Linked DNA regions of Ovis aries. The protein of the gene in region 1 interacts with the protein of each later gene in a pairwise test. Links are inferred from orthologs where the notes say so. Each region holds a gene or a part of one and is shown on either strand. Other genes may lie near its edges.

Evidence for each region. The genes of interacting proteins can lie anywhere in the genome.
Region 2: the proteins of XRCC4 (region 1) and APLF interact in binary tests that used the Homo sapiens proteins (3 or more experiments, as listed by UniProt). The link is inferred for Ovis aries from reciprocal best matches to the Homo sapiens genes XRCC4 and APLF.

The regions. Positions count from the first base shown.
Region 1 is NC_056058.1:80,503,228-80,507,284, reverse strand, and holds the start of XRCC4 (DNA repair protein XRCC4), read right to left. Parts: upstream 2,810-4,057; 5' UTR 2,741-2,809; intron 1-2,740. Other genes in the region: TMEM167A (protein kish-A), read left to right, coding at 3,035-3,037.
Region 2 is NC_056056.1:39,874,385-39,878,570, forward strand, and holds the start of APLF (aprataxin and PNK-like factor), read right to left. Parts: upstream 2,805-4,186; 5' UTR 2,584-2,804; coding exon 2,488-2,583; exon of another isoform or gene 2,171-2,487; intron 1-2,170. UniProt on the Homo sapiens protein: Histone chaperone involved in single-strand and double-strand DNA break repair.

The sequences.
Region 1 (4,057 bases):
CTTTACCAGCTCGGCCACCAAGGAAGCCTAAGAATATTGGAGAATATCCCTTCTTCAGGGGATCTTCCTGACCCAGGAATCAAACCAGGGTCTCCTACGCTGCAGGCAGATTCTTTACCAGATGAGCTACCAGGGAAGCCCATTGAGTGCTTGCTGCTGCTGCTGCTGCTGCTGCTGCTAAGTCGCTTCAGTCGTGTCTGACTCTGTGCGATCCCATAGATGGGAGCCCACCAGGCTCCTCTGTCCCTGGGGTTCTCCAGGCAAGAACACTGGAGTGGGTTGTCATTTTCTCTCCAACGCATGAAAGTGAAAAGTGAAAGTGAAGTCGCTCAGTCCTGTCCAACTCTTTGGGACCCCATGGACTGCAGCCTACCAGGCTCCTCTGTCCCTGGGGTTCTCCAGGCAAGAATACTGGAGTGGGTTGCCATTTTCTCTCCAACGCATGAAAGTGAAAAGTGAAAGTGAAGTCGCTCAGTCCTGTCCAACTCTTTGGGACCCCATGGATTGCAGCCTACCAGGCTCCTCTGTCCATGGGATTTTCCAGGCAAGAGTACTGGAGTGGGGTGCCATTGCCTTCTCCATTGAGTGCTTGAAATGAAGTGAAGAAGTGAAGTGAAGTTGCTCAGTTGTGTCCGACTCTGCGACCCCATGGACTGTAGCCTACCAGGCTTCTCCAGGCAAAAATACTGGAGTGGGTTACCATTTCCTTCTCCAGGGGATCTTCCCAACCCAGGGATCGAACCCAGGTCTCCCGCATTGGAGGCAGACGCTTTAACCTCTGAGCCACCAGGGAAGCCCCATTGAGCGCTTTGTGCAGGTCAAATACCTGACAATACTAGGGAGGTCCATGCCTTCTTTGCACAGAAAAACATAAATATGTACTATTTTTACATATAACAGTATGTAAAGTATATAAAGTATAATAGTATTTCTTACTGAACCTAAGAAATCAAAGTTGAAAATACTCTTCTAGATGCAGGAGAGGCAATAATTTTTGAAGAAGGAAATTACAAGAACCAGATTTCACTTTTAGTGTGTATGAAAATGATCCAAGATAGTCTGAAATAAGATTCCATACCAGAGCTGCTAGAAAAGAGATTTTTGATATAGCAATGTAAGACAGTGCTTAAATTAGTTCACTGGCAGTGAAGCCAAGAGTAGGGAGTTCATGTGCTTAATGACCATATATCTCAATTACCACCTTCTTAGAGATCTTGCCAAGAGATCGTGTCAGATTAACTTTGTTGTGTTACATGAAAAACTTTATATATAAATGTATGTTCAGTCTTATCTATTGCTATTTGGCTTCCTCTATGGGTAACTTTAAAATAACTGGCATTGTTCTTCCCTATTTTGAAGCTGAAGTACATAAGAGCCCATGGTCTAAAATTAATTAAAATTCATAAATACAGTAAATCAACTGTGATTTTTAACAACTTCAATTTCCTGGTGCACTTCAGCTATCACATATAACCCTCAAGTGTCCATGTAAATGAAGACAATCTACATGACAGCAAGATGTTTGCAGACACATTTACTACTTTGGAAACCAAGCTTGATGAGTTGCACAACATAATTTCCATAACCAAGCCAAGATTATTTAATTTGAATGGTTAAGACTTTAAAAATATATTGTAAAGCAATCACAAGACAAAGCATTACAGCTTGTTTTTTTGATAGGACAAGGTTACAGTATATTTTTATACATTTCTTATTCCCCTCTTCCCCATGCCCATAAAATTTCTGGAAGGAACAGGCCATCTTTATCCCTCTGCAGCAATCTCATGATGGTATGAATAAAAGCTCAGTTAAGTACTTGCTAAATTTGTGTACTTAACCAATTCTTGACAATTCAGTAGATTCAAACAAAAAGTTAGTAATGGTTTAAAAAAAAAGAAAAAAGAAAAGAAAAAAACTTGGTGGGCAGTAGCCAACAATACAATCACAGATAGTAGAAACCCAAATATTGTAATCACTGTGTTGCCCTAAATATAGAAAGGTCTCATAGTTTGGCCAAGAACAGCACATAAATCAATGCATTATATGAACTTCCTTTCCTGTTTCTCTCAATCCACTTTGAGTCAAAGTATTAAAAAACTGATAATATTCTAAAAAGAATCTGGGGAGAAGGAATAGAACCTATCTAATGGGATTGTTAAAATTAGAGAAAGTTAAATAATAATACTGATTAAAAGAAAAAGTTGGTATATGTCTTGCAGGTGGACCATTTCTCTAAAGCACCTAATCAATTACTGAACTCAGGAAAGGCAGCTCCTTTCCATTTGTTCCCACAGAAAGTTCTTTCCTGACTGCAACGGGCACCTTTCAGCCTCAGATCGAACCCACTGACAATCTACAAAACGCTGAGAATTAAAAGCGAGAATGCCAATGTTAGAAAACTGATCAAACACCTTCTCAACACAACCCCCTGAATTCAAGTGTCCTAATCCCACAGCTTTACAGGGCATTTCAAAGGCGCTTTACACAAAGAATCCCGCAGGTGCAAAGGGAGAAACTGAAAAGGGAGCCCAGGCGATGCACGACATGAGGGTAACGCCAGAGAACTCAGGTGCTCCCCAGTGTTTACAAACAGAAGGGCCAGAAGCTTACACATCGAGGGGAGTCTAAGCCGGAAAAAAATTGAGCGCGGAGGAGTTCTAGAGAAGTAAAGAAAAATAAAAATAATAATAACTGGATCGCCGACTACTATTAAAAGTCAGTCGCCACTTCCGGACCCTACCTGTTAGTAATTCCACTTCCGGCCTCCTCCGAAAGGCCCGCTCCCACAGGCGGACATCCAGCACCCAATGAGAGTGTTACCTACTTCCGCGGGGGCTGAATGACGTCATTTAAGTCCCGTCCTTTCCGGAAGAGAGGAGCCTATCGTAGAGCCCGAGACCCGCGCCTCAGGAGGAGGTACCCTGACAGGCCCAACCAAACCGCGGAAAGGGAAGAGAAAGGCAAGCCGGCCGTGCACGCCTCTTCCGCCCTGGGCCCGGAAGGGTGATGTGGCTGGGGCTCCGCCGGCCTCACTATGGTAAGAACCGGGGCTTTGGGGTCGCAACTGAGCTTTGTGCAGGGGCTGCGAACCAGTACAAGGGGTGGAGGGTTGAGTGGCAGTCCCCGGCCGGGGAGCCCTGTCGCTAACTTGACTCTCCTGGGGCTCAGAGGGAGAGATGGGCCCGGGAGCCATGTGGCCACTGCACGTCCAAACTGGGACAACCGGAGCCGACAGCCCAAGAAAGAGCCTCAGGGCCGCAGAGCCCCTCCTCACACGCAGAGGCTACTTTAATGACTTGTTTCAAAGAAATGCGCTGGTTTGGCTTAACCCGTCGTTACTTATTCTTTGTGGTTATTTTCAGGCTTTAGAGCTGCCGGATTTGCGCGCTTGTTGTTTTGCGGTTTGTTATCTCATTGCCGACCTAAGCCAGGTGTTTCATTGTTTTCAAACAAACTCGAGACATGCCACCTTAATTTTGACTTGTTGAATTAATTGGCCTTTTAGGTCTCTCCAGCTCCATTCTCTCAACTCTAAAGATGCTACTTTATAAGCTGTGATATAATCACTGGAGTTGTCTGTAGAGGTGGCTTTTCTAGAAGCTTACTGTGCTTGGAGTGGTTTCTGGCCTCGGGTCTTCCCTTCCATACATTATTAAGGTTTCCTGTGTTATTTTGTCTTATTGCAGATTCCTTTAATAGTTTGGGCCTCTTGGAGAAGCTTGAAATTAGCTTGAATAAGTTCACAAGAGAAATGTTTACTTCTCCAAGCTACGAAAAATACATAAAACCAACGTGGACGAAGGACAGATGAAATAATCAGTAGTAATAGCAAAGATCTCCCAAGCTATGTCTGCAGGCATTTCACCTTTGTCACGGTAAATGCTAACAACCTCTACACTGGGCCCTCCCCATGAATTTAGGAGGTCTATATGCCAGATGTGTTTATGAGGAAAAGATTCGTGCCTTTTATTATAGTATCAAAAGCAGCCATGACAAAAGCTTTTCTGCAGTGAAAAGTTGTTGAGCTTACGTTCCCAGAAGTTCCTGCAGAATCCCA
Region 2 (4,186 bases), on another chromosome or scaffold:
GCACGAGAAATTGATTTTCACTGTATTCTATTATCTACAAGAGTTCTAAGCTTTCCCCCCTCTGTAAAAACATGAAGACATTCCCACTGCCAAATTATTTTACCACAGAGAATGTTTAACACATTGGAATTATAAACATAAAGGTTGTGACCATGAAGGTTTGTAAAATTTGTTTCCAAAAGACATGACTAATTAAGAGAGTAAAAATAATCATCCTGATTATTATTAATCACTTCTGATAGATATGAATTAAACTCCCTGAGTTTTCTGACTTAGAACTATGTCTGTGCTCTCTCATATACCATGAAGGGAAAAAAAAAAAAAAAAAAACCCTCACTGGAATTGCTGTTGTTTGAAACTGCAGCCCTCATGTGGAGTTTTAAACCACTGTAGAGAAGAAACACCTGTCAGCTCCAAAATCTTGAAAACCACAAGGTGATTCGTTTATTCTTCAAAGTTTTCCTTCAACACATCTAGTTTCATTCACTTCTAATACCCATCAAACTTGGCAACAAAATCTCATCATCGAATGACTATTCAAAGAGAAAAAGCTTAATCCTGACCAGGTAACTGACTTCCTATTCCTTACCATTTTTAAAAACAGAAACCAAATAAGCTTGTCTCACATTAGCAAACCTATTAACAAACAGCAAGCTACAAATAATGAAGGGTCTGTGACCTGGTGCCAAATTTATAAAACAGAGGCCTAAAATTCACCCATCATTTAACCCAATTCATAGTACTCTACGTTAGTTACACGATTTGTTAAGTAAATTAAAACTCATTAGTAACCAGACATAAGATTTCTAGATGAAGCAGATACTCTATTTCTAATTGAGATGAAATGAGAGAGAGAGTAGGGAGGGAGAGAGAATTAGGAATAGAGGGGGAAGGAGGAGAGGAAAGGACGAAGGGGAGTAAGAAAGGAAGGAAAAGGGGGAGAAAACCTCCCAAGCAGTTCCTCCAAAGGTTTGTATATAATGCTGCTGCTAAGTCGATTCAGTCGTGTTCCACTCTGTGCGATCCCAGAGACGGCAGCCCACTAGGCTCCTCCGTCCCTGGGATTCTTCAGGCAAGAATACTGGAGTGGGTTGCCATTTCCTTCTCCAATGCATGAAAGTGAAAAGTGAAAGTAAAGTCGCTCGGACGTGCCCCGACTCTCAGCGACCTGCAGCCCACCAGGCTCCTCCATCTATGGGATTTGCCAGGCAAAAGTACTGGAGTGGGGTGCCATTGCCTTCTCCGTTGTATATAATAGACTATGGAGAAAAGTAAGACACATTTAAGTAATAAAAAAAAAAAAAACAGCAAGTAAACTTGAAGTTTCTCAATAACCCCACTACATATACATACACTCACACTCCTCTAAAACTAATTTCCCCAACACCACCTTGAACCACCTTTCCTTTTTCTGCTCAGAGAGGGGTCCTAAGCCTAATACAAATGGTTCCATTTAGACACTGGCAGTTAATCAGAGTAATTGACCAGACTCCTTACTCCCTGGTGTAGGCTCACTGACACAGCTTTGTTCAGACATTCAAAGAGAAAACTGAAGGGCAAGTACCCGTTTTATCTCTGTGTGCCCCGCAGTGCTAGGGTCTGCAGACTCGCAGCATAAAGTGGCCAGTAAACAAGACACGTTGAATGTAGAGAAAACAATATGTATGTATTTAATGAGAGATCTACAAATTTCCAGAATGTTACAGGCAAGTTTTCTAACTCCTAAACACCTCAGAGAAAGAATACATAACTCAGTTGCACTCTGTTACCCAAAATCTTGTGTGTGTGTCCTTTAAATAACTCGCTCAATTTTCTCATTTGAACAATGAAGATAAAAGCACCTAACTCAAAAAGTCTGGAAAGGTTTAAAGAAGCTGGTACAGGTAGTCTTTAGATCAATGCCCGAATTCTACACACTACATAAACGTGAGTCACTGACGTTACTGAAAAAGATTATTACAATAAAAGTAAAGCCAAAGTAGTACCACCAGAGGAGCCAAAGCTTAAAAGAAATTATTCTAGAAAAACTAAGATCAGAGGTTGGCAGACTTTTTCTGTTAAGGGCCAGAAACTACTATGAATATCGTGGCTTATCAAGCCAACAGGCAATATTTCCAACCCTTAGAGAAATTCTTCTCCCTGAAAGGCTAATATGGGTTTTTTTGTTTACGTTTTAAAATCTGAGAAGCATTCTTAGTACGTGGGTCCCAACAATTGCAGGCTGGATTTGGAGCCAGGGCCACAGTTCGCCGACCTCTGGGTAAAACACTAATGACGATAATCCAGGTCAGTGCTTGTTAAAGGCAGCAGAAGGAAACGTCTGCGAGTTAGTTCAAGTTGACTGAAAAGCGTGCTGCCTTCAAACTTCTAAAATCCAGAAAGGCCTGGCCGGAGCGGTGGGGAACCCGGGCAGGACCCAGAGTAGGGCCTCAGGAGCCCGCAGGACCTCGCGGTTCTCCGGGGCCGCCGAACCCCCGCCACACTTACTCCCAGAAGCGGCCCGCGGCCGATGACCGTCTCCCCGGGCGCCAGGGCCACCCGGGGGCCGCCGTCCTGCGGCTGCAGCTCGAAGCCCCCGGACATGGCGGCGAGGATTAAATAGACCCCTTCGCAAGGAGCGAGACCCTGCAACCGTTTCCGGCTTCCAACGACAGGCGCGGGACGCAGAGAGGCCCCAAGAAAGACAAGCGGAGGTAAAGCAAAGACTGCCCTCAAGAGTGCCCCGGCTGCGCGGAGCTGGGGCCCCACCGAGGGGACCGAACCCCGCCCTTCCACTCCGGCCAGTGACGTACTCAGGGAATCCCCTTTCACTCCGCCTCCAATCTGTTTTTTAAAAGCCCCGGTTACCCAACCCCGCGACCCCAGCCCTTCTCACCGCCCACCCGGCTCGGAGGACGCCGGTCCTTGTAGTCAAGACGTCTTCCCTTCTCCTCCACTGACGATCTCAGGCGCCCTGGGAAAACTACCAATCCCAAGAGGCAATGCGCGCCCCTCTCTGCGCCTGTGCGAAATCCGAGTCAGCAAGGCGGGGCTAGAGTGGGTGGGAAGAAGGGGACTAGAGGGAAGGATTCGAATTCTGGACAATTTAAATCGCGGATCGAGAGGTAGCAGCTGCCAAGTAGGTAGGAGGGGGTCTTCCGTTTACGCTGAGGTCTGGCAGGCGTGATCCGGGGCTCGGCCCTGGCGCTCGCACAGCCTCTGCTTGGCCGACCGGAGCTGTGGTGACAGTCGGTGCTGACAGTTGTTATTGTTTACCTGTCAATGCCCAGGTATTTGGACTCCGACAGCTGCTGTCGGCGCCGGGCATGCCAGGAGGGTGGTTCAGATGGGACGTGGGGTCATTCCTTCCGGCCTGCAGTGTCTGCCTGGGGTGGAGGCACCCCGAGAGCCGGGCGTCTGCCCTGCTTTACTATTCCTCCCTCCGAGTGACACCTGAAAGAGGGGTGACCTGTCACCTAGTTAGGTAATTTAGCAAAGTTTGGTTTAGAAAGAAGAGGATAGGTTTCTAAACATCCAGGCAAAATGGGACTTGGAAGAAGAAAAATGCCTAGTGGGGTTTAGGCACCCCCATCTGTTAAATCCAAATGCTTTCATCTGCCTCGTGTGGAATAATTGTAACAGGAGGACGTATTTTATCTCCAGTGAAATCTTAGGAAAAATAACAAATGTGCGTTTAAATGCACAGTAACTTTCTCCTAGTATGATATTCTTTTCAAGAATAGAGTAGTTTGGCTTTAGTTTATATTGATGAGGGCTAAGCATTGGAGAAGGAAATGGCAACCCACTCCAGTGTTCTTGCCTGGAGAATCCCAGGGACGGGGGAGCCTGGTGGGCTACAGTCTATAGGGTTGCACAGAGTCGGAAACGACTGAAGTGACTTAGCAGCAGCAGAGGGTGGAAGTGCAAAAACTTGACTTATGAACTTATTTTTTGCAGTTTGCTTTCTTACTTCCCTAAACTCTCAAGAGGAAATCCTCTGTTGAACTCAGACATTAAAATTCTGACCACTGTAGCCAACTTGGATCATAACCAAATGAACGGGAGCATCTGTGGTCTTGGCAGGTTTAGAAACATATAGGTGAGTAGCACATGTAGAAAGGGAAATTTGTCATTAGCTAAGATAAATGAAGTATTAGCTGTATCTGAAACCCCTCCTGCACCAACACCCCTCGCTATAAAAGGAAGT